Linked DNA regions of Pelodiscus sinensis. The protein of the gene in region 1 interacts with the protein of each later gene in a pairwise test. Links are inferred from orthologs where the notes say so. Each region holds a gene or a part of one and is shown on either strand. Other genes may lie near its edges. The genes, in order: CREB3L1, SLC61A1, TSPO and FAM3C.

The links.
Region 2: the proteins of CREB3L1 (region 1) and SLC61A1 interact in binary tests that used the Homo sapiens proteins (3 or more experiments, as listed by UniProt). The two-hybrid records come from large-scale screens. The link is inferred for Pelodiscus sinensis from reciprocal best matches to the Homo sapiens genes CREB3L1 and SLC61A1.
Region 3: the proteins of CREB3L1 (region 1) and TSPO interact in binary tests that used the Homo sapiens proteins (3 or more experiments, as listed by UniProt). The two-hybrid records come from large-scale screens. The link is inferred for Pelodiscus sinensis from reciprocal best matches to the Homo sapiens genes CREB3L1 and TSPO.
Region 4: the proteins of CREB3L1 (region 1) and FAM3C interact in binary tests that used the Homo sapiens proteins (3 or more experiments, as listed by UniProt). The two-hybrid records come from large-scale screens. The link is inferred for Pelodiscus sinensis from reciprocal best matches to the Homo sapiens genes CREB3L1 and FAM3C.

The regions. Positions count from the first base shown.
Region 1 is NC_134714.1:83,758,618-83,766,366, forward strand, and holds the start of CREB3L1 (cyclic AMP-responsive element-binding protein 3-like protein 1), read left to right. Parts: upstream 1-4,739; 5' UTR 4,740-5,199; coding exon 5,200-5,307; intron 5,308-7,749.
Region 2 is NW_027465863.1:45,933-53,734, forward strand, and holds the start of SLC61A1 (molybdate-anion transporter), read right to left. Parts: upstream 3,008-7,802; 5' UTR 2,698-3,007; intron 1-2,697. Other genes in the region: nuclear receptor subfamily 1 group D member 1-like, read right to left, coding at 5,884-6,080, 6,665-6,875. UniProt on the Homo sapiens protein: Mediates high-affinity intracellular uptake of the rare oligo-element molybdenum.
Region 3 is NC_134711.1:120,824,479-120,832,307, forward strand, and holds the start of TSPO (translocator protein), read left to right. Parts: upstream 1-4,826; 5' UTR 4,827-5,035; intron 5,036-5,135; exon of another isoform or gene 5,136-5,294; intron 5,295-7,829. UniProt on the Homo sapiens protein: Can bind protoporphyrin IX and may play a role in the transport of porphyrins and heme. Promotes the transport of cholesterol across mitochondrial membranes and may play a role in lipid metabolism, but its precise physiological role is controversial.
Region 4 is NC_134711.1:42,371,136-42,378,709, reverse strand, and holds the start of FAM3C (protein FAM3C), read right to left. Parts: upstream 3,012-7,574; 5' UTR 2,819-3,011; intron 2,762-2,818; exon of another isoform or gene 2,332-2,761; intron 1-2,331. UniProt on the Homo sapiens protein: May be involved in retinal laminar formation. Promotes epithelial to mesenchymal transition.

The DNA.
Region 1 (7,749 bases):
GTCTGAAAACTGTAGGTACTGGGGGATACTTATAATTTTTTTGAAGGGGTACTTTATTAAAAAAGGTTGAGAAACACTGATATACAGCACTGTCCCCAGGGGAATATGAGCTTAGAACATTTATGTTTTAGAAAAAAAGTGTAAATACAAAGCAGGATCTTTGAGCTGACAGACTTTTTCTCCTGAGACATTTTTAATCTCTAGGATGGAGAAGTCCCTGTTTGAATGTGCTGAAGTGTTTTTCCTTTGCAATTCAGACAAACAAGTCACGTTTACTTTGCTTGACCTTTTCTGATGACACGCCTACCTGGTGAATACAAACAGTAGCTCTGCCTCATACATGCACCCCGCCTGTATGAAAAGGGTGATTCTGAAAGGAGATTTCCTTAAACTAACTTAGGTGAAAAACTGGATCAGAGAGGCTTTATGCAATTCAGAGTAATTTGGTTTTAAAAATCATGGTGTGAAGTTTAGTGCTTATAAAAGTAACATGAGGGTTTGGTTAGTGAGGGCAGGAACAGTGCAAGCTTCCCCTATAATAGCTCTACCAGTGCACCTCAGTCTTGACACTAGCACTGCTGTTTCAGCCCTCAGTTCTGCTACTACCACCATCCCCAGTTTCACTGATACACGTTACCCATGAACAACCCTAATCCTTAGGGAGAAGGGCAGGGGAAAGAGCCCTCTTCCTAGGGCTTGTAAACATTATGGAGAAGATTAACCCTCCAGAGGTCGATCTTCTAGTGTTCAGTTTAGTGGATCTAGTGTAGACCACCCAATCAAATGCTGAGGGCAGCCCCCACCAGCATCCTGTGCTCCTCATTCTGAGAGGAGTAAGGGAAGCCTGGACAGGAGTGTGTGAGCCCATTGGCCTCCTGCAGTTTATCATAGAATCATAGAATACAAGGACTGGAAGGGACTTCGAGAGGTCATCGAGTCCAGTCCCCTGCTCCCATGGCAGGACCAAATACTGTCTAGACCAGTGGTCCCCAACCTTTTTAGGTTGTCGGGCGCCAGGGGGCGTGGCCGTTTGCCCGCCGGGCGCCAGGGGGCGGGGACCGGGGGCGCCCCCCCATCCACGCGCCCGGGGGCGGGGCCCCACCTACCGCGCGCCCGGGGGCGGGGTCCCCCCATAGCTGCATGCCCGGGGGCAGGGCCCCCTCTAAGGGTCGCGCGCCCGGGGCCGGCGCTCCCCGCCACCCCCACCCTCCCGCCGAGTCCCGCGCGCCCGAGGCCAGCGCTCCTTCCCCCCCCCCCGCCGAGTGCTGCGCACCCGAGGCCGCCGCTCCTGCTCCTCCCCCCCCCCGCCAAGTGCCGCGCGCCCGAGGCCGGCGCTCCTGCTCCCCCCCCCCCCGCCGAGTGCCGCGCGCCCGGGACCGGCATTCCCCCCCCTCCTGCCGAGTGCCGCGCGCCCGGGACCGGCGTTCCCCCCCCTCCTGCCGAGTGCCGCGCGCCCGGGACTGGCGCTCCCCCCGCCGCGCGCCCGGGGCCGGCGCTCCCCCCGCCGCCTCCCGCCGAGTGCCGCGCGCCCGGCGCTCCCCCCGCAAGCGCCCATGCGCCATGTGCCCGGGGCCAGGCCAGCCCCGAGCACCTGGCGGGCGCATTGAAATGCCCCCGCGGGCGCCATGGCGCCCGCGGGCACCGTGTTGGGGACCACTGGTCTAGACCATCCCTGAGAGACATTTATCTAACCTACTCTTAAATATCTCCACAGATGGGGATTCCACAACCTCCCTGGGCAATTTATTCCAGTGTTTGACTACCCTGACAGTTAGGAACTTTTTCCTAATGTCCAACCTAAACCTCCCTTGCTGCAGTTTAAGCCCATTGCTTTTTGTTCTATCCTCAGAGGCCAAGATGAACAAATTTTCTCCCTCCTCCTTATGACACCCTTTTAGACACTTGAAAACGGCTATCCTGTCCCCCCTCAATCTTCTCTATTCTAAACTAAACAAACCCAAATCTTTCAGCCTTCCTTCATAGGTCATGTTCTCTAGACCTTTAATCATTCTTGTTGCTCTTTAATCATTCTTGTTTAGATGCTGCAGTGGCTCAGCTTAAGGTAAGCCGAATCCAGCTATGCATTTTGCTGGTCTAGTGTAGTCCAGTGTGCTTGTCGCTGGACTACTCATTCTTTTAGGCAGCACCAGAAGTGATGAGGAAATAAATGTCAGTCTTCTGAGAGCAAATGGGTGCCCTGGGAAGAAGGTCAGAGAAGCCCTAAGGAAACTCATACCACTGCAAGAGGAGAATAGATATTTCCAGCTTCCTTGGGAAGGATCGAGTGGAGCCCTTTTCTCCTAGCTTTTGAACCACATGAGCAGACCTCTAAAACCATCAAGAAGGGACTCTTTCACCAGACAAAGTGTAATGTAGCCATACTGCCCATGTGTAGCCCTGTGTCCCCACATTAGAGAGCTGGATCTGAGGTGGCTCTGTTACCAGAGACTATGGACGGGGAGTGTAAGGTTTTTGTTCTGTTTTGTTTTGTTCTGTTTCCATTGTCTCCTTGTAGTGGTTATGAAGTACGCACTGTGGACATTGCAAGTTTCTTCCTTTTTTCCTGTGTTAAACAATTAGTCCCAAATACCTTCTTGTTTTTGTTCTTGATGTAAGTGACAAGCTGAAAGTCTTCTGGAATCCTAGCCCAATTCTCTGCTCACTATTTGTGTCTATGATTTTCATTTACATTAAGGCCACTTTACTCCTCATGGGCAGCAGAAAGGGATTGGGAAAGTGAGAGCAAATGTAATTTAAAGTGGCTATAAGCCCTGGTTCTCGCTCACACTATGGAGCATGTCTACACTGGGGAGTTATTTCAAGATAACTCCCCTTATTTCAAAATAACAAGGCGAGCATCCACGCTACCAACCCTGTCATTTTGAAATAATGGGCTTGTTATTTCAAAATAATAACTCCTGCTTGTGAAAAGGAATAAGCATATTTTGAAACAGTTATTTCAGGAGTTATTATTTCGAAATAACTTATTTTGAAATAACCTAGTAGTGTAGACATAGGCTATATGTGCAGAGAATTTGCACATGGGGACTAGTGTGAGGGACATTCTCTGGTCTTTAGGATTTAGGATTAGCCCTGAGACCTGGTGGAATCAAGAAAAGAGTGTGACTATGAACCTTCAGTTGTTGATGGCATCTCAAAGTCTGACACAAACGCAAGTGTCCCCAAAGCGCCTGTCTCCTACTGGTCAATTTCATCATTTTAAATTATTCTTGTAGTTGGAAGTTGGCAGCCAAGTGTCCTTTGGGAGAAATGCACCTTCATTCTCTCTGAAGAATTGGTTCCCCAGACATAGATGAAGGATTCTTTGGGCTACACTGGCTGAGCCATGAGGGTAGGGATTGAGGGATACCAGAACTGCTTCAACAGGATTATTCTAAGAGGTTTTCCTAAGTGTTCATCAGAGTGAATATCAGAGGGGATAGGGATTTATAATCCTGTTTATTTGAAGACATATAATCTTCCTGAAGCTCTTAAATGGTGCCTGAATCTTTAATTACAGAGCTGCAAGATGGGATGCTGCTAACAGGCCCCCCTGCACTGACTTTTGCTGAGGGTAATTGGCAATAAGTAGTCACATGAACATTAAGCTGACGCTAGGCTTGGCTATCTTAGGATAAAATATTGGCAGATGTTTAACAGTGAACTTGCTTTGGCAGTCAGTAAATGTGGCCACCCCTGTTCTAAGGTAATGAAAGGAATACCTAGGGCAGGGCTACTCAACACGTGGCCCATGAGCTGCATGTGGCCCACGGTCCATTTGTTTGCAGCCCATGATGTGGTTTGGGTTTACGTGGTGCTCAACATGTGGCCTGCGGGTGGGAGCCAAAGCAAAAAAATAATCAATATAGTGGTTTTCCGTTGATATGCATTTTAGCATTTAAATTCCTGGACTGTCATTGCTCATTAAAAGTGCTGTCACATGGGTGGAAATCTGGTAAATATTGCGTTTTATTAATATCAGCAGAACCAACTTAAATGGGGCCTGTGTGTTGTGTAGTCTTGCCTTAATCTTTGTATTCATGCCCATCAGTGTGAAAGAAGCTATTTGTATATATATGTGCATGTATATGCAACCACACTTAAGTTGCGGCCCTTGGCATGTTCTGTGAGTATTATTGTGGCCCCCGGGGCTTCCAAAGTTGAGTAGCCCTGACCTAGGGTGTTGGAAATACACTACTGGCTCAGAAGAGTGCCACCTAGTGTATCATCCCCATAATAGTGGTAGGGAACCTTGTGCTGTAGCAATTGGTATCCCTCAGTAGGAGATGCTCTCTGGGAGTACAGAGCCCAGTGCCCTAATGTGGTGCTGCAGAAGTTGTCCTTGTCAGAGTCATTGGGATGTCCAGGAGAAGTTCTAGATTGTGCTGGGGACACACATTAGCACTGGGCCCTGCAAAGGCGGAGCAGTCAGCCGTGGCCTGGCTGCCACTCTTGCATGCAATGGTCTTTCACAGCTTTCTCCCTCTTACATCTCCCCACAATGGCTTCTGTCTGTGTTGTCCCCCAGGCTGTCTGGGGCCTGATAGCTGCTCAGATCCTCCACGAGCCCAGTTCCCTGCCCTGGCTCTGGGTAGGATGCGCCCACTGTCCCTAGCTCTGTGCTGTCAGTGTGAGAGCAAGGGAGGAGCAGGGCATTGCACCAGAGCTTCCTTAAGAGGCTGATCAAGGAGGGGAGTGCTGCCTCGCAGAACCTTTAATATTCATGAGCTAGGGGGCGTGATGTCCAGGCCGGCCAGGCGGCTGAGCCTGGGGATCCTCGGCGGAGTGTGAAAGTGACAGCTGGGCAGAGGGGAGTCCCGGCGGAGTGCACCGCCCCGCCTTCCTCCTGCACGGCTCCAGGAGGCAGCCCGGGCCCCTGCCCGCGCCCGGGGGGTTCGGATCTGCCCAGCCCCAGGCGTGGCACCTTTGCCCCCCTGTCCCGTCCTCAGCCGTCGGGGGACCCCCAGCAGCCCCCGCCTCTCCGGGGAGCCCCTGTGCCCCCGCGCCCTATGGATTGCCGCCGTCCCTTGGGAGGAGGAGCCATGTGCAGTCGGTGCCCGGGGCCCTGCCATCGGCTGCACCGGGCGGCGCGGGAGTAACTCCGAGCCTGGCGGGTCTGCGGAGGGAGCGAGGACGCCCCGGCTCCGGCCCGCCGCGCTGGCGGGAGGGCGGCTCTGCGCCGCACCTAACCCCGGCACCATGGACAGTATCCTGGAGCCCTTCCCCTCCGAGCGCCTCTTCCCCGGAGGCGGCTCCGGCTTCCTGGACCTGGGCGACCTGAACGAAGCGGATTTCCTCAGCAATGTGGTAAGGGCGCCGGCCGGCGGTGGGCGGGGGCTGCCTGGGCTCGTCCTGCTTGTCCTGGGCTCCCCGCCAAACGGCTCCTACTCGTGCCGGGAGCCTGGGCAGCGCAGCGCCCCTTTTCCTGCACCTGGCTGCAGTCCTGAGCGCCCCCTGGGCCTCAAAGCTCAGCCAGCTCAAGTCCTCTGGAGCTCCCCCCCCCCCCACACACACACAACTCCTGGCACCTCCTCTAGGGGATCGGTCGTCTCAGCCCCTCTAGTAAGATCCATGCCATTGTTTTTGAAACCGTGTCTAATAGGGATCCCGCAGCAGGTCCTGGGGTGTAATTCCGTGGCATAATTAACTCATCCCACTCTAACTGCACTGGAGAGTGGAGACCCTAAAGCTGTGGGGGCAGCCCTTCTGCTGCTATTTCCCTTGCTTACCTGCTTTTTGTAAAATGACCTGGGGGTGAAACATCTGTTGCTTGGCTAACACAGTAGCGATTTACTTTAGGGGGAGGACGAGTGAACTAGGACTAGATCTATTTAGTGTGTCAAAAGAGAGTATTTGTCTTTAAGAAGATTGTCCAGACTTTGTGTACTCATGTCATGTAACTCACATGTACAGTAGTTCCATAGGAGGTCGTTATCCCAGATGAGGAATTCAAACTTTGTTGTTTGTGAGCAAATGTAGCTTTGGATTATCTGGGGTTATCGTCCCAGTAAAAGATAAAACAGTGACACAGAATCTGGTTTGTTCTAAGTGTAACATGTTTTATTTACATGTACACCAGTCCTGGAACAGAGATGGTCACAAACAGCATGGAAGTAATACCTCCTTTCAGGCCTCTCCATGGCCTGTCTCAAGAATTGACTCCAGTTAGAGACAAAGGATATGTCAACATCATGGAGGGACTGCAGCACATGTACACATGCCTAAATTACCTTTGATCTAGCTAACTCAATCAATATCAGTGAATTCCAGCAGCAAGGGACCCTGATGATATATTGGAGTGACTAACCTGTACTGCAGCAAGTCTTCTATAAGTTATTTGAGCTAAATAGAGCACATCTAGCCTACTGTTTATGAGTGGAGACGGCATACCTCTAATTGCAGTGTAGACATACCCTTAGGTTGAGAGTAAATTCTTCTTCTGCTTACACAGCTCATTCTACCTAGAATCTTTGCATGCCAAAACTAACCCACGCACAGCAGGTCTTCTCAAGACAGAACATTTGTTCTCAACCTAAGACCTGGTCTGCATACATTTGAAAGTTTTACTTGTGTAATTATTTTAATTAGGAGTGGGATCTCTGCCGCCCCCTCAGTAATACTGGTAAAAGCCTTTGGATGGGATGAAGTTATTCTAATATAAAAGTCCCTTGCAGCAAATTAGCTTATTTTTATATAAGAATAATATAAATCATTATATGTATTTTTATGCCACTATATCTGGAGCCGCATTAGGGGAGTTGTATAACTTAACTATATCAAATAGACTATACCTACTGCCTCATCCAGTGATACCCACCATGACATGATATTTACAAATGTGTACTGACCATATGCATTGTGTTAATTTCCTGACTGATTAAATTCCATCTCTGTTCTGGCAGTGACTGTAAAACTGACCTGAGGAGTCATCCATTTTCATTATTTCTCAGTGACTCTAGATTTATTATGCTCAATTGACAAGTAAAAACTTTTTTTTCCATTTACACCACAGACTACCCTGGGGATCTGAGACTCTTTGTTCTTGTGCAGGATCAACAATAAAGATTCTGTAATCTTAGTGCAGATAACAAATCTGTTGATGATACCAAAGCCAGAATGTACTGGAATCTAATTCACCCTTTGTGTAGTGGATCTGCAGGGAAAACTGCCATAAAAAGGAGCAAAGATTAACTTTAGGAAATCCATCAAATCTTAATGGGACGGGATCTGTTGATTAAGAAGATCTCATTTTTACATAGTTGCTTTTCAGAGTATTGTACTTAACATCAAAGCACTAGGGTTGCATGGTAATCCTTAAAACTGTCAATGATTTTTCTTTGGAGGGAGAGATGAGGTTCAATATGGAGACTCTTCATGTAATGCTCAGCAAATGTAGTTCCCTCTAAAGAAGTTGAGTGAGCATTGAGTTCACTAAGAACCCTTTCCTGCAACAGTAACCTTCTTTAGTTAATCATCTTGTCACTTAAGCAGTAGTTTATAAAATCTAAGTCTGTTACAAGATGAAATAATTGGATCATAGGTCTAAGGTGCATCTTGGAATTAATAAATTAATGTGTTTGAAAAGGGATGTTTGAAAGAGAACAGTGTTATTTGTCAGAGGATGACTGATATCTAGTTTAAAAAGCATAAACATGGCTGGGTCTAATCAGTGCTTGGATGGGTACACACAAGGGAAAAGGTGTCCATGGAAAATGTTCCTTTTGTTCACTGAGATGAGCATATTACTAA
Region 2 (7,802 bases), on another chromosome or scaffold:
CACAGATGGTACAGTTAGTTTCATGATCTTTGATACTTCTTCACTGTGAATGGATGCAAAGTTTTGGGTACCCACAGACTGTTGGCCAGAGTAGCTAATGCATGGAACCAATGCCAGGAAAAAAATCATATCCTGTTTTCCTAGCCTTAGGTCATATGGGAAGATAATAGCCTCAGTGAAAAGAAAAAAAAATCATGTGATCTGCTCTGTGATATTTGTAGCTCTGTGGTTGGGTTCCTGAAAGAATGATCCAGTAGGTCAGTGGTTCCCAAACTTTTTGGCATCACGCCCCCTTTTTGATTTGAGAAACCCTCACCCCCCACCCCAAATAGCAGCACAACTTGTTGAGGGGAAAAAAAACCCCCACGAACTGACCGGGGCCAAAAAACAAAAATAGCAGCAAAACTTAGGGGGAAGATTCACCGGTGGGGGGGGGGGGGGGGGGGGGAGTGCGGGCGGTCACCTCGCACCCCCCCACACACCGGAATTTCCTCAAGTCCCCCCAGGGGGCACACACCCCAGTTTGGGAACCCATGCAGTAGGGGCACTTGAATTGGAGATTTTTAACTTCCCACTTGGCATGTTTTAACAGGAAAAACTACAAAAAGGCACTACCAGTTTTAAAGCCAACCCTCACACCCAGATTACCATGGAGTGGCTTCCTTTAGGTCTCTTAGAAGTGACAAGATTGCCAGAAAGTGCCTGGAGTGCTCTCTTCCATTAATCTGGGTATAGCATTGATAATGCCACCCCTCACACCTGTGTCTTCCTTCACCTCATTCTAAATCATGCTTCAAAAGCTCTTACTGGGTTTCTTTGTAGCTCTTTAAAAGGCAGAGATCTTGTTGTTTGTAAAGCAATGGTGAAAAATACTAGACTGAAAACTGAGGTAAACATTCAGTTTAGTCAGAGGAAGAGCAGCACAGCTAGCATCACCTGTGTTGCCCTGCCCACATGCCTCCAACCTACCCTGAAGAGATTCTTCTGATCAGAGTGACAGAGCAGGTTAGCCTGCATACTCCATTCTCTGTTCAGCCTATGGGCTGAGAATGGCAACCTGTGATGAGGACGTCTGTGTTCTGGTCCGAGAACTGGAGCCTGGCAAATTTGTGGATATCTGCGGCTCGTTTTTGCAGATACAGATGTGAATACAAAGTGTGTATGTGCACAGGGCTCTACTGAGAGAACCTCTTGCAAACTCGTGCAGGAGATCCAAGCTTTCCTCTGACCAGCACTCTCCCACTGGAGCTCAAAGATAAAATAGAGGACAAACCAAATGTGAAAGAGCCTGAGATTGCTAGGGGGCCAGTGTATCCAATAAGATTCTAGTGGAATCATCATCACGTTGATTCCTGTCCCCTGGAGAAACACACTAGAATAGAAACACATTCTGCTGAAAACATGGTCTAAGTGGCAAGTGAAGCCCTGTTAATGGCAGAAAATATTTCATCACAAGAGAGCACTGTACATATTGGGCTTGGTAAGGGAGATGATGAATCACCTCCACATCTCTCCAGACCCCCTTGGGAAAAGGCAAACCTGAGCGGGGGAACCAGATGAATTATGGGCTCAGCTCCCACTGGCAGGCAGCTCCACCTTGCTCAGACACACCACACACAGGCCTCTCATAGCATGTCTTTCCCATTCCAACCCTCCACTCACAGCTACACAGGCTTCCCCCACCCCCCACAAGGGCTTGCCTCAGACCCTCCCCAACTCATTCTGCATCCTAACAAGAAGCACCCCCTAGCTCTGCTCTCTCCAAGTACACCACTCCCCCAAAGCCTGAGCCTCCCTCGCCCCTGAAAACTCCCACTTGAACCCCCCCTCTCAACCCTCACTGCTCCCTAAGCCCCCTCTTGCTTCCCCTCCCCCACCAGCCTCCCACTCCTCCTAGAGCCTCTCCTTCCCCAGAACCCCCAAATGATTCAAGAGCCTCCCCTCTTCCAGTCTGCACCTGCCCCCACCCCTCCCGCACAGCCTCCACCAGCTCCCCCCTCACTGCCTCCCCCAGTCCCCAAACCCCACCACCGCTCCCCTCCCCCCATGGCCTCCCCCAGTCCCCAAACACCCCCCACGGCCTCCACCCCCCCAGCTCCCCTCCCCCCATGGCCTCCCCCAGTCCCCAAACACCCCCCCACGGCCTCCACCCCCCCAGCTCCCCTCCCCCCATGGCCTCCCCCAGTCCCCAAACACCCCCCCACGGCCTCCACCCCCCCAGCTCCCCTCCCCCCACGGCCTCCCCCAGTCCCCAAACATCCCCCCACGGCCTCCACCCCCCCAGCTCCCCTCCCCCCATGGCCTCCCCCAGTCCCCAAACACCCCCCCACGGCCTCCACCCCCCCAGCTCCCCTCCCCCCATGGCCTCCCCCAGTCCCCAAACACCCCCCCACGGCCTCCACCCCCCCAGCTCCCCTCCCCCCACGGCCTCCCCCAGTCCCCAAACACCCCCCCACGGCCTCCACCCCCCCAGCTCCCCTCCCCCCACGGCCTCCCCCAGTCCCCAAACATCCCCCCACGGCCTCCACCCCCCCAGCTCCCCTCCCCCCACGGCCTCCCCCAGTCCCCAAACACCCCCCCACGGCCTCCACCCCCCCAGCTCCCCTCCCCCCACGGCCTCCCCCAGTCCCCAAACCCGCCCACCCCCAACTCCTCTCCCTCCCCCCCACGGCCCCCACCCCCCGCAAGGCTCCTCACCTGCTCCGCTCGCTCGGGAGGGGAGGGGGGGTCGCTCGCCCGCGTTACACACACGCGCCCCGGCCCGAGCGATCCGCTTCCGGGACACCTCGCCGGCCTCCGTTGGAAGTAGCCCAGGGCGCCGCCATGTTTTGGGGTCACGTGACGGGGGGAAACTGCCTTGGGTCCGCGCCTGCTGCGTCCGCCGGACTCCGGCTCTGAGACTCCGCCCCCTCCCACCCGGCCGTTGGGCACGTGACGCGAGGCCCGCAGTGACACAGACAGCACGTGCCCAGGGCCCCCACTGAAGTGTGGTTGCATCTGCATGCAAATATATATGCAAATATATGCAAATACCTTCTCTCACACACTGACCCAGTGCTCCTTCCTGGGGGGCTGGACACCCTGGACCCGCCTGTAGCCAGCCCGGCGCTTGGCCTGACGGCGCTCAGCCCGCCGGGGAGCCCATGCTCCAAGGGTCCCGCCCGCGGGCTGCGTGTGCACCCAGACCGACCGCGGCCCGGAGCCCTGGGCCAGACCCTCCCTGGCAGGTGCATCCGACCTGCCCTTAAATGTCCCCAGCGACGAGATGCCACAGCCCCCTCCGCTACGTAGGCCAGTGTTTAACCCCGACAGGCAGGACTTTCTCCTAATGTCCAGCCTCAACCTCCCTTGCTGCAGTTTAAGCCCCTTCCTCCTTGTTCTGTCCTCAGAGGCCAAGGAGAACAATTCCCCGGATCCCTTGTGACACCATTTAAAATACCTGAAAACCTCTATCACCTCCCCTCAGTCTTCTCCTTTCCAAACGACACAAGCCCAATTCTTCCCCCCTGCCCCCAGGTCATGTTCTCTAGACCTTTAATCATTCTTGTTGCTCCTCTCTGGATCATCTCCAATTTCTCCACAGATTTCTTGAAATGTGGTGCCCAGAACTGGACACAATACTCCAACTGAGGCCTAATCAGTGCAGAGTAGAGCGGAAGAATGACTTCTCATGTCCCGCTCACAACACTTCTCTTTCCCAGAAGTGTTTGCTTTTTTTTGTTGCAATAGTGTCATGCTGTTGACTCATATTTAACTTGTGCTCCACTATGACCCCTAGATCTGTTTCTGCCAGGACTGCTTCCTAAACAATGATTTCACATTTTGTATGGGAGAAACTGATTGTTTGCGCCCTAAGTGGAGCACTTTCCATTTGTCCTTAACGAACTTATCTTATTTATCTCAGACCATTTCTCCAGTTGGTGCAGATCATTTTGAATTATAGCCCTATCCTCCTTGAAAAATGAAAATTGTCATAGATTCTCATGACTTCAGGAGGTGGGGTTTGCACAGCACCCAGTGCAAGGGGAAGCTGGTCTTGGTGAAGGGTGCCCCTGGAATTGCAACAATACCAACATGTGGACACTTCACTCAATGTTAAGCAAATCTTTATTTTAATTATTGCACTTCAATATTAGACCAAAAATAAACCGTTTCTTTTCTTCCACTGCTAGGCACTAGGGCTTTTAGCAGCCATGCCCCTGGAGGGCATCCCTTTGCTGATATGCTCCAAGTTGGGATAGGGGGTAGTTTATTTTCTGTACATTTATATTTTTCAGAAAAGTGCAAAGTTTTGCTGCTCTTTTAAAAACACAAACAAAAAACAAACAAAAAACAGAGCCACACGGCCAGGAGCTGAAGCACAGCCCGGCTCCCCCTCTCCCTGCAAATGTTCTGAGCTTGGCAAAGACCCAAACACAAACCACAAAGTGCTCCCTTCTGATGTGCTAGTTCTCCCTCCTCAGGGGCCATTAGGATTTGATATGTATTGAAATGCAAAGCTAGGGAGCTTTGGGCCCCATGTTCGGTTGCTGGATTTGTCTTCACCTTACAGTGGTCTAATGTGCCACCTGCCCCGCACAGTTCGAGCCATTCTCTTCGGCAGTGGGAGAGTAGTCTAAATGGCTGGGGCAATGAGATTCAGAATGTGGTTCTGGGAGGGGAATGGGGTCTAGTGGTTAGGCCATGGGTGGGGAAGGGAAGCCAGGGTCTATTGGTTAGAGCAAGGCAGAGCTGAATGGGAGCAAAGGAAAATGGAGCCAGTGCTTTCTTTAATGGAACTGGCTGGTGGTTAGCGCATGCATGGTGAATTCTATTCCAGGCTCCGGGAGGGAAATCATGGGTCACATGGCTTGGCAGGAAGGAATGTACAAAGCGATGCTGCCCAAGGGGGATGTGCGTGGGCAGGGAAAAGAAGCAGGCGGGTTTCATCAACCTCTCCTGAGGGCTGAATTAATCCTTTATGAAATAGCCAAGGTGGAGACATCCCTGGGGCCCCAACGGGGGGGGGGGGGGGGGGGGAGGAAGGAAGGTGTCAATTAAAACCTTTCTCCTATGACAGTCTAGATCCCCTGCTTGCACTCGAGATCTGCCTCCTTCAGCCTCTCCCCTCTGAGAGACTGTCCCCTAGCTGAGCCATCACTAGTCAGCCTTTGCCAAAAGCTCCCTGGAAGCCCTGATGGCGTGAGACATTTTATAAAAACACCAGACAAGACAAACCACACAGCAAAGGGCGGAGGTGGGGAGAGACGTGCCCCTGCCCCTCCCCAGCAGGTGGAAATGGGCCAGACAAGTGCTTCTGCAGATAATTTCCTGGTCCAGTCTATCCTATGCTGTTCACAGAGCAAAGCTCCACAAGCCACCTGGGATGTTTTCTCCATAGGAGAGGGCTGGTGGTGTGGAGGGAGGGTGGCAACAGAGGGGAATGGGATAAATGAGCATGCACCCTAAGAAGGAACTAGGTCCTCAACTCAAACACAAGTGGGGTGAGCCGTTCCCCGAGAGCTACCTATGCGCTGTATGTACATGTCCAGGCTCCTTATATACAGACTAGACCCTCAGAACGACACAGAGCGTTCTCTACACGTACACGTAACTACACTGTGTCAGTGCGGTCGGTTCGGATGCATGTTTGCTACGGTCTCCGGGCCTGGCTGTGCGGCAGAGAGCGCCGTGTGGGAGGTGTGCTCTCTCCTCCTCAACCCAATCACCCCAGACTGGGGGGGTGTGCTGGCAGAGCCCAGCTCCGACAGGCCACGTGCTGCCCGTCAGCACCAGAGCCCTCTTTCCTCATCTTCAAAAGAAACACAGCCCGAGGTGCTGGGTCTGGCGATTGTTCTTGATCCTTTTCCCCCTAGGCTCAGAGGGTGGGCATCTCCGGTGGGTTTAAGGATCAATCCGGAAGGCCAGGAGCTTCTCCGAGTGCTGGTTGTTGAGGGTTCGCAAATCAGGAAGGCGCAGGAGGAGTTTGGGGAAGAGAGTGGAGTCATCAGGGTGCTTCTTTGTCACCAGAGTCCGCAGGGCCCGGATGAGGGTCTCCTGAAGGATTTCCACGGCATCCACGTCTGAGATGCCGGAGCGATCTATGAACCAGATGAGCCATGACATTAATATCCAATCTGCTCCCCCAAAAAATCAACTGGTCCCCACTGCAGGGGAATCTCCCTCTGTGACAGCATCTGACACACACAGCAGCTCATAAACAGCAAGGAGATGCTTCCTAATGCCCAGATCTCAGCCTGGGGTACAGTCTCCAGAAAGAAGGGATGAGATGTTTAAAGCCAGGTTGGACAAAGTGTTTAGCTGGTGCCCAGTTAGGTCTTTCCCCACCTCTAACATGGAAAGGGCAATGACCCTCCAGTTGAAATACTAGGAGGACGCTGTCCTGTACAGCTCGGTCAGTCCTGTTCCCTGGCGAATCTGGAAGGCCCAGGCAGGGTAAGCTCCATGTGCATCCGCTTTCTGCATGCACCGGGGCGTGGGACCCCAGAGGGGCACTGGGGACTGCCAGTCCGTCATTGTCTTTCCACAGGCGCCAAACCTAGTGAACAACAGGACACACGGCCTGAGGCACCAGGGAGGAGCTTTGCAGGGGGATCGTCACTGACTTCACCTGCCTGGCTGGCCGCTCAGAGATCCCCCCGCTGGCCCGAGGGCTCGCACCCACCTGCTGAGACCAGGACGACGGCCATGAAGAGCGCCATTTCCTGGGCATCCAGCCCCAAGGAGCTGAGCTTCTCGCTGAACTCGAACATGGCGTCCAGCAGGCAGCCCATGCCCATGGTGCGCAGGCTGCAGAGCGAGTAGGTCTCGCCGCTCAGGAACGTCACCACCTTCTCCTTGGGGTTGAAGAGGGAGGAGAACCGCACCATCAGCACCTGCAGGAAGAGGATCAGAGCTGAGCCTGCAGCTCTAGTGGCCAGGCAGAGTACAGGGTTTAGAGTCTGGGGGTGCCAAGGGTCCTCAATTGTGTTACATAATTCTAAGCCAGGTTGCCTGGGGACTGGATTCAATAAGCCAGGAAGCTCTTCCCATCCCGTTGCTATGACTGGATCGCTCAGCTCAGGCAATGACAATCATAAAGTACCTAGCCCTTACCTCAGGGCACGTCAGGATCATTATCCCCATCTGACAGATAGGGAAACTGAGGCACCAAGCAGGGAAAAGCAGCTTGTCCTAAGCCCCAGTTCAACGTTCTAGCCACTGGATCTTTAGATGCATTCAGTCTCCTGACCCTGATCTGGAGTCACTTTCTCCCTCTTGGGGTTCCTATGGGAGTTGAGGGGCCTGGGTGGAAAATTAAATAGCCCCAGAACAAGGGTAATTCAAGTCAGTGGCGCGGGTCTGATGAACCTTCTCTACAGGTGCTGTCAGGCTACCAGGTTTCCCACATGTGACAGAATCTGTGCCTGGCATGTCATGGCCACTTAAACAGCAGGAGCACAATTCATCTGAATCCTCCTGTTGCAAAAGCCCAGAGCTAGAGGGGAATCTCCCATGGCTGTTAGCAGTATGGAGGCTATGACACACAGTACACTAGTTCTGATTCCATACCGCAAGGGGTGCACACACAGAAAACCAGGGCTCGCTCCTTCCAGAAGAGGGCAGTGGAGACACACACACACACACACACACACACACAGATTCACAGATTTCAGGGCCAGAAGGGATGGTTGTGATCATCTAGGGCAGTGCTTCCCAAACTTTTTGGCATCATGCCCCCCTTTTGATTTTTGAAAAACCCTCACGCCCCCTTCCCCCCCCCACAAAAGAAATAGCAGCAAAACTTGTTGAGGGGGGGAAAA
Region 3 (7,829 bases), on another chromosome or scaffold:
TTCCCTGAGGTTTTTCTAAATCCCAATAGTTGTTAACAAGGGACCAGGGATTATTAACAGTTACATTTACATCAGTGTTATTTATAAGACTAATTATGTATCTAAAAGTTTTAACACTACTACTTAATAATACCGCTAAACAATTTCAGATAACAATACTTACATTTAACAGACACACAAACTACAACAACAACAACATATTTGGTATTCGTTATGTTTGGTATACGTTACGCTCTACAGGAACTTGTTTGGTTCGGTGAGCGGGAGGTGGCCCTCGGGTGATCAGTCCTCGGACCTGGCTCATATTCTGCCATCCAATGTTTATTCGGGATTCCTCAATTTGATACAGGAGGGGAAGCTGTTTTATAGAGAGAGCTTTTGTGTGCTTTTTGTGATAGGCTAGCAGACCCTGTCTGTTAAGTGACAGGAGTAAGGGGGTGAGATGGTTTCCTCTGTTTTTCCTTTTCTGCCTTATCAGGCATGGCACGGTCAGCACAACCAGCACGAACTTTACGTGAACTTTTGGGTCTGGTTTTGGTTCCTGTTCGTCGCTGATCTTTAAGTTACATAGTGTAAGGGTTTTTCATCAAGGGGAAGTTGACCTTTTGCTTGGATGGCAATACGCGCGAGAGGCCCGGCCAGCAAAGAGCCTGCTTCCACACCAGCAGAGCCATCAGCAGCCAGGGCCAGGTTCAATATAGGGTTCTTCTTCATCCAGCCAACATAGAACTGGCTTGAGGTCCCACCAAGTAACATGGGAAATTCACACACCACTCCTGTACTCTTCTAAGAGGCAATACTTCCCCACTCGCAAGCACAGAGTCCAAGTGTAGAAAAGAAACTTAATAAAAGGAGGGAAGTAATTTGGCATTAACTTGGGAAAATCACCACAAACAATTAATAAACAAAACCATGAGTAACAGTCCCGCTCAAAGTAGATCGGGCAGTGTCCTTTTCCTCTCAGGTTCTTAAGTCCAGCAATCTAAATGTCCCCTTCACATGTCCAACCCTTCTTTGCACCCCACTCACAGTTACTACCCTTGGTCAGTGCAGACCTAGAGTTCAGAGGTGCATTCACCGAGTTCAGCTCCCATCCCAAGTGGGGGGAAGTAAAGAAGTATCTTGTTCACTCCGCTGGTCACTCACCATCCACCTGCTCACTGCTCTCTATCACAACCTTGATGGTCATTCATCTCACCACCTATCTGTCATCACCCTGCTAGCTGCTCATTGAAACTTTCAGTCACCACCCTGCTAACTGCTCCTTGTGGTGCTATCATTCTACTGGCCACTCTTTGCATCTTCCCTATTGGGTCTCAATCACCAGGGCTTGACGAATGCACTCACCTGCTCGCCCGTGGCAAGTAGATTTTACCAGCTGGCAAGTGCAGGGGCGGGCTGGCCGAAGCCTGCACTACAGGCGGCGCGGCCCCATCCGATCCGCTGGCCGGCGGAGGAGCACAGTGCTGCTGGGAAGGGGGAAGTGTGGAGATTCTTCCCACTGGGCTACCTGCATGCAGCTCCGGCACGAGAAGGTGGGGCAGGATGCTAGGACGCTGGCGTGACCTGTCCCTGCTGATTTTAAAGGGCTGCGGCAGCTCAGCTCTGGCCGCGTGTCTCTGGGAGCTGGCTGCGGCGCGCGGCACAGCCAGGGCCCGCCCCACCGACTCCAGTCCTGCCACGGCCCCAGACCCCCTTTGTCTCCACATCGCCTGTTCCCCTGCACCCTGGACCTCCTGCTCTCCCTCTTCCCTGTGACTCTTTGGCTCTGTGCCGACCTTACACCCCACACACTGCTCCCCCCGATCCCTGCCCCCCAGCTCTGTGCTGCCCATTTCCTGCACTGCCCCTAGACCACGATCCCTCTGCCCCTCCCATTCTTTGCGTCCCATTCCCCGTGCCCCTGCATTTGAAGACTCTTTCACTAAGGCTGTGTCTAGACTGCAGGGTTTTTTCAAAAAAAGTTGCCTTTTTTTGAAAAACTTCACCTGCGTCTAGACTACAGCTGTGTTCTTTTGAAATTAAATCAAAAGAATGTGGCTTTTCTTTCAACAGTGGTACTCCTCATTTCACGAGGAAGAACGCCTTTTTTCGAAAGTGCTCTTTCGAAAAAAGGCATTGTTGAATGCAAACAGGGCTTTTTTGAAAGAGAGCAGCCAGACTGCCTGGGTGCTCTCTTTCAAAAAAGCGGCTCACTTTTTCGAAAGAAGAGGTTGCAGTCTAGACGCTGTCTTTCGAAAGAGGCTTGTAGTCTAGACGTACCCTAAGTGTATGTCCCCTTTAGTTTGGGACAATTTAGCACAGATCTACTTTTCTGTATTCCCACAAAATTACAAACATTGGTCACCATATTTCAGCTGTCCCTGCATTTAATACAAACATAGCTGGTAGTGAGTCACGAATTAAATTGAGTACAATGAGTAAAATACCATTCTATCTGCTGAATATCTAATAGGGATGTTAGAGTTTAACCAGTTAAACTCCTGGCCACCAACAGGAGCCCGCAGGTCTGGCAAGCGCCAGCAGCATGCGGGGCCAGCAGACATGGGCATCCTCTGGTTCCAGGAGCTCACTGTGTAACCGACTGAATTTTAGTTGATTACATAGTGTTTTTTTTAATTACATTCCTAATATCTAACACCTAAGCAAAGCAGGAGCAAATTGTATTTACATAGACACACCCAGGGTCTTGCACAAGAGGTGGTTTTTGCGCAAAAAGGAGCCATCTACACAGCTCCTTTTTGGGCAAAAATGACCCCTAATTAATTATGCAAATGAAGCATAGTGATATGCTAATCTGCACTTCATTTGCATAGGCTTTTGCGCAAGACCAGGTGCAGTATAGACTTAGCCATAGAATGTAGGGGTTCTTTTAGGGTCTGGTTTATGTTGGCTTTGTTTTGAAATGGGATTGGCTTGATTTTTCACTTATTGTGAAAGTTGGACACTTATTCACAGTGTGTGAAAGTTGGCAAGCCGACTCAATTAATTATCAGGAGATTAATGGAGATTTTCGTGTTGGGTGTCGAACATATAAGAGCACGTGTAAAGTTTCACAAATGTTACAAGTAACAATTACAAGTACAGCAGATAGAAGAAGTCTTATAACCATCTGGGGGCCCCTATTGCCCAGGCTCTAGGGCTGTCCCTAGAGGGACCCAGGGCTACCACCCTGCCCTATGCCCCACCCCATTTCACTTCCCTCCCCCCCAAGCCTGCCCCTACTCCATCCCTGCACAGCCTTTAGGTTTGCCAGATGGTTTCAACAAAAATACTGGACGCACTTGACATTACATCACAATTTACATTACAATGTTATTTAGAAAATATGGGACATTTTTATTTTGTCATTTATATTTTTTCAGTTTGTTTCCCAAATAGAAAGCTCAAATACTGGACTGTCCGGTTCAAAACCAGACACCTGGCAACCCTACCAGCCTTTGCCTTCACTGCATCCCTCCCCTATGCAACCTGAGCTGGAGGGTTACCAGGTGCAGGGTGGCAGCAGGGGTTAGCCTCCTTCCATACTCACCACAGCAGCGGGAAGTGGAACTCCATGGTCCCAGTCCGCTCCCCCTAACCCTACATCATGCAGTGGAGCGAGGCCAGGATGCCCGCCTCCTGCTGCCATGGTGAAGCAGAGGGTAGCAGGCTGGGAGATGGCGGTGGGATGAAGTAGGTTGTGGGGTCACTTCAGCTCCTACTGCCATGGTGAGCGCAGGGAGGCCCAGACCCCTGCTGTCACTGCATGTCAGACCCCCAATACTCTTCTAAGCCACCCTGGGCCCACCACGGATGAGATGGGGGACTGTCTCATGGTCCATAGGATGGCTGAGGCAGCTGCTGCAGGGCCCCCCAAAGTGCAGAGCCTGGAGTGGCTGCCCCCAAACTATTCTATGGATGGAACAACTCTGCTGGACTCCACCAATATCAGGGCCAGATCTCTTCCCTGGCCCCATCTGTCACCCCTGTGGGCCTCTCTTTGCATGTCCCTTAGCTCCACCAAATAGCCCCCCGCATGCCTCCCCAACCCTCACTTGATCTGTGCCCTGGGCAGCAGGCAGCTGCTCCTGGGCCCCCTGCACTCCCTCACCAGCTGCTGCAGCCTGGTTGGCTGTAAGGAATGGGGCCAGCAATGACAGGCTGACTGCTGCATTTGCAGAGAAAAGGGGGAGTAGGGGCATGCACCCCCCACCCCCGCAGGTGACTCAGAGTGGACTTCTTCTGAGGTTTGAGTGAGTGCCAGGAGGGGGAGGAGGATCTGCCCTCTCTGGCTTCAGCCCCAGGGCAGCCTGCCTCCTGGACTTCAAAGTTTGAGCTCCTCATTCCTGTCTCATCCCCATCCCAGAGCCCTTACCCCCTTGGCCCCAACCCTCTGCTCAAGGCTTGAGCCCCTCCCAGACCCCAAACCCGTCATTCTCAGCCCTCCCTCACTCCTGGCCCATTCTGGACCTCACCAAGAATTATACAAACCTGTCCCCCTAACCACTGCAGTCTGCGCTGCTTCAGTGGGAAGAAGCATTTTTCTGCTCTAGACTGAAGCAAAGGCAGCCCTGTGATGAGTTCAATTGCTCCTCCAAATAGAGGTGCACGATATTACTCCCCTTCCCCCCATTTTTAGTGTAAGCTTAGAGCACTTGCTGTCTAACCTCCCACCCAGACCCAGCAGAAATCGTGACTGTAGGCAGCCGAGCGTGGCTTAGACCCCTTTGCATCAAAATCAAGCCTCTTATTAAAAGTCAAACATGGGGCTTATTATTTTCACTTTCATTTTTAAAACAGGAATTCTTCCTTTTATTTTTTTAACCCACCACGCCTCCGCCGCCCGGAACACGCACTGCAGGAAGGGAAGAACGAGGTCTGGAACTGCCCAGGAGCTGCTGCCACTTTGAGCGAGCGCCCTTTTGCCCGCGACAGTGTGAACAGAAGGGGCTCGGGATCTGCGCGTGAAATCTCCGCGCACTCAGCCAGGGTCGCTGCAAACGCCGCCGCCTCCTCCTGCAGCGGGACAGACTGGAGCCAAACAACACAAATTGTGAGTCTAAGACGCTCCCTAACCCTCCCCCCCCCGTGCGCGCTGGAGCTGTGCAGGGCCGCGCCCCGCTCCCCCCCAAGCACACGAGGCAGAGGGTGCAGCCAGCTCCGCCCCCGGTTGCCCTGCTGCTCCAGCTCCCGCCGCTCCGACGCGCGTAGGAGGGACACGCGCGCTCAAGCCGCACCCCTGCTGGGTCCATAGAGCAGCGCCCTCGGCCTGTCCTCTGCTCTGCTCCTTGCCGAACTCCGGGCTGCAGCAGGTGAGTGAGTCTCCCCCTGCCTTCCCCGGGCACGAGCTTCTGCTTGAGACTCTCCAGCGATTCCCTATTAAGGCGGCGGGAGGAGGGAACTGCTAGTTTCCAAGGGGAACGGCGGGTCTCTCAGAAACCACAGTTGCGCCAGGAGGAAGCAGGGAGAGTCAGCGGTGTCACTCTATGGGCCTGGATCTAGCAGCAGGGGCGGAGGAGCACTTTCTCCACCACATCTCGTGGCCGAGGAGACATTGGGAATAGCACGAGGGGGTTAGCCCCTGGGTGCCACACCGAGTGCTCGGAAATAGCAACCGGGAGGCGGTGTTTTGTAGTGCCACACATTGCCAGGCAGCGTTGGGACTGCAGGAACAGCCCTGTCATGCAGTGCCTGATAGGCTATGTCTAGACTGCAAGCCTCTTTCGAAAGAGAGCGTCTAGACTGCACGTGGAACTTTCGAAAAAGTGGCTTGCTTTTTTGAAAGAAAGCACCCAGTGAGTCTGGATGCTCTCTTTCGAAGAAGCCCTATTTACATTCAAGAACGCCTTCTTTCGAAAGAGGAACTTTCGAAAGAAGGCGTTCTTCCTCGTGAAATGAGGTTTACCGCCGTCGAAAGAAAAGCCACGTTCTTTCGATTTAATTTCGAAAGAACGCGGCTGTAGTCTAGACGCAGGTGAGGTTTTTTTCAAAAAAAGGCTACTTTTTTGAAAAAACCCCTGAGTCTGGACACAGCCATAGTGAAAGAGCCAAGGAGTGGGATTCCTAGCCTCGGTCCAGTCTTAACCTCGGTTAGTTCATCTGTAAAACACACAGTATCATTTAAGAGGCACTTTATTATTATTAATACAAAATGCTATACTGTACGGTGTATGCTAATAAAGTTGCAGATAGATCAGTAGTTAATTTATAGGGGGCTTGCGATTTGTCACTAGCATTTGACATTTTGCAGTTAAAATGTTAAAGAAAGTTGTTTCCTTTTCTCCCACGTTTATGTGAACACAGAAAGAAAACATTTGGGAAGGCTCGCTGACTCTAGGAAAGAATGGGAAATAGTGCTTAGTAACCTTTCCTTATGTAATACAGGCTTCTGCTGGTGGAATTTGGACTGTAGCAAAGTATCTCCACAAGTGTATTTATTCCAGTCTAAATGCCCATGATACCTGGAGCTGACCCATGAAGCACAGTTAGTGGGAGGTGTCAAACAGGCAAATAGCCAAAAGATTTACTAAACCAGCCTTTAGTGCTAAACCCCATAGTAATTTAAAGCTGCTCTACCATTGTAGAACCCCTGTGCAGTTTGGGTCCATTCATTCAGCGGCAATGAGCCAGACCCTAGCTAGTGAACTATTACACATTTAACAAAACTAATAGCATTTACTCCTGTTCCTTCTTGGCCCAGTTGTATCTCATTTGGCTTCATAGGGGCCTTGAACTTTATCCTCACATCCAGAATTTCATGTGGTCAATATTTACTTTTTTTCCCCAGTGAGGTCGAGATAGTTTTGAGTATGATTTTAAACTAGTAGCATTTACCCGTCAATAAATCTCACAACTGGCTATATTTATTGCAAGCTTATTCTACCTGTTAGTAAGAGGGGGAAAAGAATATGCTTGTTTTTGCTCTTTTCTGTGACACTATGTAATGAAATAGAGTAAATTCATGAAAGGCTAAAGTGAAACAGACTTTAGTTAAGTGATCCCTAACTGAAGATTATAAGAAAAAAGTATAAAAGTCTGCATTTGCACTTGTGTAATCAGTGGGCGTTACTTTGGTGTTCTGAAACAACATCAAACAGTGAGTCACATTTCATGGAGCCATTTAATAAAAGGAATTGGGTCATTTAACTCACTGGAGTGAAAATGAACCAGAATAGCAAACAATACAGCTGGACCTTCAGAGACCAAAGAGTCATTACGGGAAAAAAGTTACTTTACCGCCAGCACCTTCCTCTATGCAATCCCATTATGTGAAATCTCAGTCTTCCCTTCCATCTTATTCAGCATTGGAGAAGCCAGTGAGACAATGTGGACTGAACTGACAACAGAACAGAGACACCACACAGCTCTTCTCTTGTTTTTTCCCCTGCAAGAGGTATAAAGAGCAATGCTCCCCTCTGAGTTGAGATACATTGGATGAAGAACAGCACTCAGGCCTAACTGAGGCAATGCTGGTGGGAAGAGACATGCTCTGAATAACTCACTTCTCTTAGCATCCCCCATTATCAAGGGCATCTACTCTCAGGTTAAGCCAAGCTCAGCCAGAGCTGTCTCTTGGGTAGGGCAAATTGGGGAGACTGTTCCAGGGCCTGCACATTTAGGGGCCCCCATTTGCCAGTGTGATTGGTCCCGAAAGACAAAGCCATCACGTCCACAGGTCCCACCATCTTGTTGGCAGTTGAGAGACAGTGCTCAATTTGGTCACCTGCGTTTCATTGCAGTGAGTCCCCCATCCTGACTGGCGTCCTAAGGCACTGTAGCACTATGGTTAAGAATATCCCTGTAATAGATGCCAGGAACTGCCAGCAGCAGTATGTGGCCTAGCACCA
Region 4 (7,574 bases), on another chromosome or scaffold:
AGAGGGTAGGCTCACTGGTCAGTGAGGAGGGAGAAACAGTAACAGGAAACTTGGAAATGGCAGAGATGCTCAATGAAAGGAAGGGGCCAGATGGAAACCAAAAAGCTTTTATTGTCAAAAACTTTGATCCAACTATGAGCTTTGTTTTCTTGCACGTTGGGGGAACAGTGGGTGCTGGTAAATAAAAATTTCCAGTTAACTAAGAGGATGGGAGTTCGGGTGTGGGAGGAGGCTCAGGACTGAGGATTGGGTTGCAAAAAGGTTTGGGGGTGCTGGATTCAGACAGCAATCTCCTGCAGTGGCTCCCTGGAAATGGTGACAAGTCCTGCTGCTCCTAAGTAGAGACATGGCTAGGCTGCTGTGTGTGTTGCCTTTGCCCATATTCACTGCCCCTGCAGCTCCCATTGGCTGCAGTTCCTGGGCAATAGTTCCACCAAGAAATAGTAGAGATTAGGGATGTGAAGGTTTAACCAGATGAACTGGAGCAGTACCAGCCCTGTGAACGGCCTGCCATGAACAGGAGCTGCTCCAGCACAGCTCCTGCCTCTGGCAGGCCTGGCAGGCATTGGCTGTTCTGGCTGGGACTCTGGAGCAGCCCCTGCCTGTGGGTCACCGGGGCCCACCACGGGGAGGGGCTGCTCCGACATCCCATGAAGCAGACTCTGTCCATAGTGGGCCCAGGCACCCTACAGGTAGGGGCTGTTCTGATTGTGATTCTGAAGCAATCCCTGCCAGTGGGGCACCCTGGCCTGCGCAGGCAAGGGCTGCTCTGGTATCCTGGCTGGTGCAACCCCTGCCTGCAGGGGGGCAGGGAAGGGGCAGTTGCATGCAGGAGCAACTCTGGCTGGGTTGGAGCAGCCTCAGCCTATGGCAGAGGGTATGGGGCATTCCTGTAATCCTTGATTTCCCCCCCCCACACACACACACAGTTCAATTGATTAACCAATTAAATGGGATTTTACATCCTCAGTAAAGAGATGTTGCTGCTTCTGGGAAGTAGGGATGTAAAATCTCATTTAGCCGATTAACGGGGGCACCCAGGCTCTGGACACTGGAGCAGCTCCTTCCTGCAGGCGCCCAGTTCCATCACGGATAGAGGCTGCTCTCGGTCCCAAGACAGACAGGACTTTACGCTATCTAGTAGCAGATAGGTATTATAGTGACAGATGCCAAAACAAGATTATCTATATTTACCTTTCTACTTCACAATCACAGATGTAGAAAAACTGAAGAACAAAGAGTTTAGGTCATTTAGACCCAGCTCCTGCAACGAGATCTGTAAGGATATACCAACTGTGAATTGGTTCCTTAGAGCATACCCCTACCAATGCAAGTTTGGTCCCTCCAGTAATGTCTTCAGTGTTTGTTGAATGTCAGGTTAACCATATATAACTATTCCACTGATGATTTCCATGATCAGTTACAGAATGTTTAATACAATGCTACTTTTTCTTCTTTACCTTAGTATTTCCTCCTTTCCAAGAGCACAAGGGTGTGTCTATATTAGAAAGCAGTTAACAGTGCTGTGCCCTTAGTGTGAACACAATTATATTAATATAATGGCACTTTATGTTGGTTTTTGCTATTCCCATACAAGAAAAGAAATAACTATAGTAGTATGATATATTTGTATAACTGCTTCCACAATAGGACTTTTATCAAAGTGACACTGGTTAAAAAAAAGTTAACCCACTAATAGACATAGTTATACTGGTAAAATTAAGTCTTTAAGGGTAACTAAAGCTTTTCACTGTTAGATAATTGAGCGCATCAGACTACAAAGTTATATATGAAGAAAGTTGAGCTGAGAAGAAAAATAATTATGCTTACTTATGTATCTAGGATAAAACGTTAGAAATCCATTTCTATAAATGACAGCACCAAGATGTGAAGAGATAAGCAAAGATACACAATTCGAAACTGAAACTGAAGGGCTAATTATACTTTTTAAGTAGTTTTGTACAAACAACAGCTGCCAGCAAGTAAGGTGAAAATCAGAAAAGCTCATTTCAGTTTACAGCTATAAATACTTAAGACCTAAATCAATGTAAGCATACCCAGTCAAAAGTTACCAGGCATTTGCACACTGTAGATCTTTATCTCCTCTGTAAAGAATTCATCCACAGCTCTAGTTTGAGAGGCATCCAGCTCTTCACACCTGAACTACTTTCTACAATACTTCACCTCTAATGCAGTGGCTTAGAGCCAGCACTGAAACGCTCATTTCCATCCTGTCCCGACTTTTGGTTCTATGCAAGCTTAAAGTTTACAGTCACGTTTAGCCTCTTGGATTCTCCCCCCTCCCCACGATGCGGGTGGGGAGATACAGACCTGGTGCAGAATAGCCCAATTTTTTCCCTTTCAGGTACGTGTATTTTTCTGGCAGCTGCCCCAAGGAGGAAACGAGGGAAGCCGCACAAAGCGCACACAACCCCAGGAGAGGGTCAAAACAGGAATGGTCCGGGGCTGGCGGCTGGAGACTCTAGAAGGGCGGTTTGTGCTGCTGGCCGGAGAGGCAGCCAAGGGGGCAGGAGAAGAGCCGCTGGCTCGGCCACGAAACGCGCGCGAGGAGAGCTCTGCGGGCGGCAGGGGAAGGGAGGCGGCGGTGCAGGGAAGCTCGGGGCTCCCGGCGGGAGGAGCGGAGACCTCAGAGCGCCGGGGTGAGCGAAGGGCGGGGCGCGGGGCACAGCCTGGCCAGGCGCTCCGGGGCACGGGGCCGGGACACGCCGCTGCGCAGCGTCCCTGAGCCGGGTGTGCGACGCGGCGGCGGGGGCCCAGCCCGGAAGGCCCGAGCTGGAGAGAGCCGGGAGCCCCTTACCTGCGCCTCCGCTCCGGCTGCCCGCCCGGCCCCTGCGGACGCGGCTTGACGAGAGCTCAGAGGGCGGCGGTGGAGCAGGAAGCCCAGCGGTTCTGCCGCTGCGGCCGCACGGGCGGGAGGTGCTCGTCCGCCCCCTAGCGCTGGCGGACCCGGGCCGGAGTCTGTGCTAGCGCCGGCCGCCTCCGCTCCACGGCCTGCTCGGGGCCCTCCCCCCGCAGCTCCTGCCCGATCCCCTCCATTGCCCGCCCCGCCCCTCGCCCACCTAGGGTTGCCAGATGGTTTCAATGAAAATACCGGACACACGTGATAAAAATGTGTAGACCAAGAAAAAAAAAAAAAAAAAAAAACCAACCCCCACGATATGGGGAGTTTATTGCTGACAATCCACATTACATGGTATATTTTACATTAGTGCGCAGCTTTTATCCATTTTTTATTTTTCAAAAACTTCATTTTCTGCATTGCTCATTATGGATATCAAGATCCTAAACAAAATTAGAAAATTCTGAATGTAAGGCGGCCAGCCTTTTTTGATAAAGCTGCTCATTGTTCCTTACCTTAAAAGAGACAGGAGGAAGATGAAAGCTAGACAAAGGGCAACACTGTCACGAATCGTATGTTTATAAAAGGAAAATATTCAGCACTACTACGTAGTTGCATACTGCCTGGCTGGTAGACATGCTCACACTGCGTGAGTGTGTCTACCAGCCAGGCAGTACGCAACTATGTGCTGATACCCATATCCAAGCGGTGAATCAGCATAGTAGCCCATAGCGCGGTCCTAGAGTGTGAGCGAGAATACTCGCGCACAAGCCATATCATAACATGATAATAATAATACTTAATTAGATCTCCTCCATTGCCCACTCCGTCCCCACTGCCCCTTCTCTACACACCGCCCCTCGCCCCCATCACCAGCACCCCCTCTCTTGCACCCCCATCACCAACACTGCCCCTAACAGTCCTTCCTCTGCACATCGACCCCACTCCCTCCTCACACCCCCTAGCCCACACACTGACACCCCTTCCATTGCACACTCCTTCACTGAAGCCCTTCCCAGCACATCATCACCCCCTCCATGAACAACCCCTCCCCCACATGTCAACACTTCCTCCCCATAACCTGTTTCCCACACACCAACATCCCACTCCTCTCCCCACCGCCCCTTCCCCATATACCCAACACTTCCTCCGTTGTACACTCCCCACCACATCTCCTCTCTTGTCCACTCCTTTCCCCACCATTCCTTCCCTGTACACTGACACCTCTTCCATTGCACACCCATTCCCTGAAGCCTCTCCCCTGCACATCATCACTCCTTCTATGCACAACTGCTCCTGGCAACCCTTCCCCATACACCAACTGCTCCTCTCCGGAACTCCTTGCCCAGACACCAACACCCCTCCATCGCCCACTCCTCCCCACAGCCTCAGCCCCATACACCCAACACTTCCCCCATTGCACACCCTCCTCCTCACAATCCCTCCCTCATCACCAATACTCCCTCCCTTGTCCACTCCTCTCCCTTCAGCCCCTCCACCACACACTGACATCCACTTCCCACAACCCTTCCCACCTACACCAGTATCTCATCCCCCACAGCCCTTCCCCCACACATCAACACTCCCTCCCACAGCGCTGCATCTCTTCCAGCTCCCCAACCTCCCTGCCACTGGGTCCTTTCCCACCACACCAGTGCCCTGCTAAAGCACCCCTCCCCACAGACCTTCCCATGGACAATGACACCACAACCAGCAGGCCTCTTCCCCCTCATACTGACATCCCCTCCACAGGGCCAGATCAACTTTTTGTGGGCCCCCATATAGTTGTTATGGGCCCTTTGGTGTGTGAGCTCCACATGATGGCACCACAGTAAACCTGGTACTGCTAGGATGGGGACAAAAACATTTATTCAAAACCAAAATAGTATGAACCCACACTTGGTTGAGACCTCTTCCTAGCCCAATGGCGGGCAATAATTTTTGCCTGGGGGGCCACTTTTTTAAGTAGCCCCGGGTCACCCCAGAAGGGATGGGGCCTAAATAGGAAAGGGCAGGGCTACCCCACCCTCAGACCATGATTGGTCTGGGGGTGGGGGAGCCCCTTTGCCCCCCGCTTCCCACTAGACACTCATGTCCTGGAAGAGACTTGGCACGCTCCCCCACCCTCTGGCCAATCAGTGCCTGGGGGCAGAGGAGCATGGGAAGCCTCCTCCCACCCTGAAAGGCAAATGTGGCACTCTGAAGTGCCGCGGACTACTCGCAGGGCTGGGGTAGAGTGAAGGAAGCTTCACGCAGCTCCCCCACCCCCAGGCTCTGATTGGCCTGGGGGCTGAGGAGTGCGTGAAGCCTCCTCCACTCTCCCCCCACCCGCGAGCAGTGCGTGGCACTTCTAAGCGCCACGCACTACTCACAGGGTAGGAAGAGGCTTCGCGTGCTCCCGCACCCCCAGCCAAGTAAGCCAGGGCAGGGGCAGTGCAAAGAAGGCTTCAGGCACTCCCCCGCCCCAGGTCCTAATTGGCTTGGGGACGGGGGGAGCAGCAGGGCCTCCGTGGGCCGGATCCACTTGCTTTGTGGGCTGGATCTGGCCCGCAGAGGCCTTTTTGCCCACCCCTGTCCTAGCCTATAGAGAATAAACTAGGCTAGCATCAATATACCCAGAATACTCCTGAATGTGACTTATTTGGGATCAGGTTGTTAGTTTTTTCTTTTTTCTTAAAATAAGGCCTGCTTGGGTCCCTGAACATAATTAGTGCATTTGTGAGCCATTTATGGAGTGGAATCACACCTGCAACTCCCCACCACCACTTCCTACATGCAAAGTTATGCCTCATACATCCATTTTTGAAAGCGTATTTTCTACTTTGGTACAATCATGTTTATAAAAGTTTCCTTAGCCTGTTTTTTTACCTCACCATCCTTCATGACTAAGGTCCACCCACTTCAATGGCAATGAAAAACATGTCATGAACTTTGAAATAAGTCCTTCTCTGTGAAATCTGATCTCCCCATGTGGCTGGAAGCGCCCCAGCCAGGAGCTCCTAACTGCTAGTCTGCTCTTGGTGGAGAGATCTTACCACCTCCAGAGGCAGCGCAGAAGTGCACATCCTCACTTCTGCACTGCAGCAGCCTCGGAGTTGGGCTCAGGGCTGCAGATGCCTGAGCTTGGGTGCCACTGCTGTAGTTGCAGCAAGGGCTTAAGAGTGCTCGGGCTCAGGGCTTCTGCCTCTGGTGGCTTCTGTCTCTGGGCACCCAGACTCAGGACTTCTGCTGCATGGCTGCAGCTGGGGCTTAAGGCATCCAGGCATTGGTGGTGGGTATTGTAGGCAGGGGGAGGCTGTGCCTCCCCAAGCAGTCTACTGTGACCCCATCTTCACTCTGTCCGAGGCCAGGCCCTCTTGCTGTTCCCAAGAGGCTGGCTAGCATACCTCCCGTGGCAACTTTGAGCAGCTAGGACTGCGCTTGTCTAGGGTTGGCTGCCTAAACACTAGGACTGACAATGCTGCCAGGCCACCTAAGCACTGGAATGGGGAGCAAAGCCACCACACTGCCTGGCTGCCTGGAGCCCCAAGCACTGGGGCTGAGTGCACTGAGGCTGTAATATATTGGAGATGGGGCCTCAACCCCTAGGCTATGTCTAGACTGCAGGCTTCTTTCGAAAGAGGCTCTTTCGAAAGCATCTTTCGAAAGAGCCTCTTTCGAAAGATCGCGTCTAGACTGCAGGCGGATCTTTTGAAAGAGAAATCCGCTTTTTCGAAAGAGAGCACCCAGCGAGTCTGGATGCTCTCTTTCGAAGACGGCCTCTTTATATTGAAGAACGCCTTCTTTCGAAAGAGGAACTTTCGAAAGAAGGCGTTCTTCCTCGTGAAATGAGGTTTACCGCCATCGAAAGAAAAGCCGCGTTCTTTCGAAATAATTTCGAAAGAACGCGGCTTGAGTCTGGACGCAGGGGAAGTTTTTTCGGGAAAAGGCTACTTTTCCCGAAAAAACCCCTGAGTCTGGACACGGCCCTAATGCCCAGCTATTTGGCACTGGAAACATGCGGGGTGCTTTTCACTCCATGGGGGAAAGAGATAAAAGGAGAGAATGGGGTGAAGAAGGAGAGAACCCCTGCCCCCTCAGGGTACGTCTAGACTACAGGCTTTTGTCGACAGAGGCTCTGTCAACAAAGAGCATCTAGACTACATCCAGTTCTGTCAACAAAGCAAGCCACTTTTTTGACAGAGAGTCTAGACGCTCTCTTTTGAAAAAGCACAGTGTGGATGCAATAGCACCTTTTGTTGACAAAAGGCATTATTCCTCGAAGAATGAGGTTTACCGCCGTCGACAAAACAGCCGCATTCTGTCGACTTACTGTTGACAGAACTCAGTGGTAATGTAGACGCAGGTATAGTTTTGTTGACAAAACCCTGTAGTCTAGACACACCTCACACAGATACAATTACTCCAGGACCGCTCCCCTGGACACCAACACCCTTGCCCTACTGCCTCTCACCCTCAATATGCACATGTAGCTCTACAGCTGCTGCAAGAATCATAAAATGGAACCTGATTTCTGTTTATTTAAATTCTCAAACAGTGATGGGAAGTATTAGTATTTGATTTAGAGCAGTGGTCTCCAACCTTTTTACACCCAAGATCACTTTTTAAATGACAGAGCAAGCCAAGATCTACAGCCCCGCCCCCTCTATTCTCCTCCTCTCCATCACTTGCTATCCCCAAGCCTTATACTGCTGCTTTTAAAAAAAAATTCTTC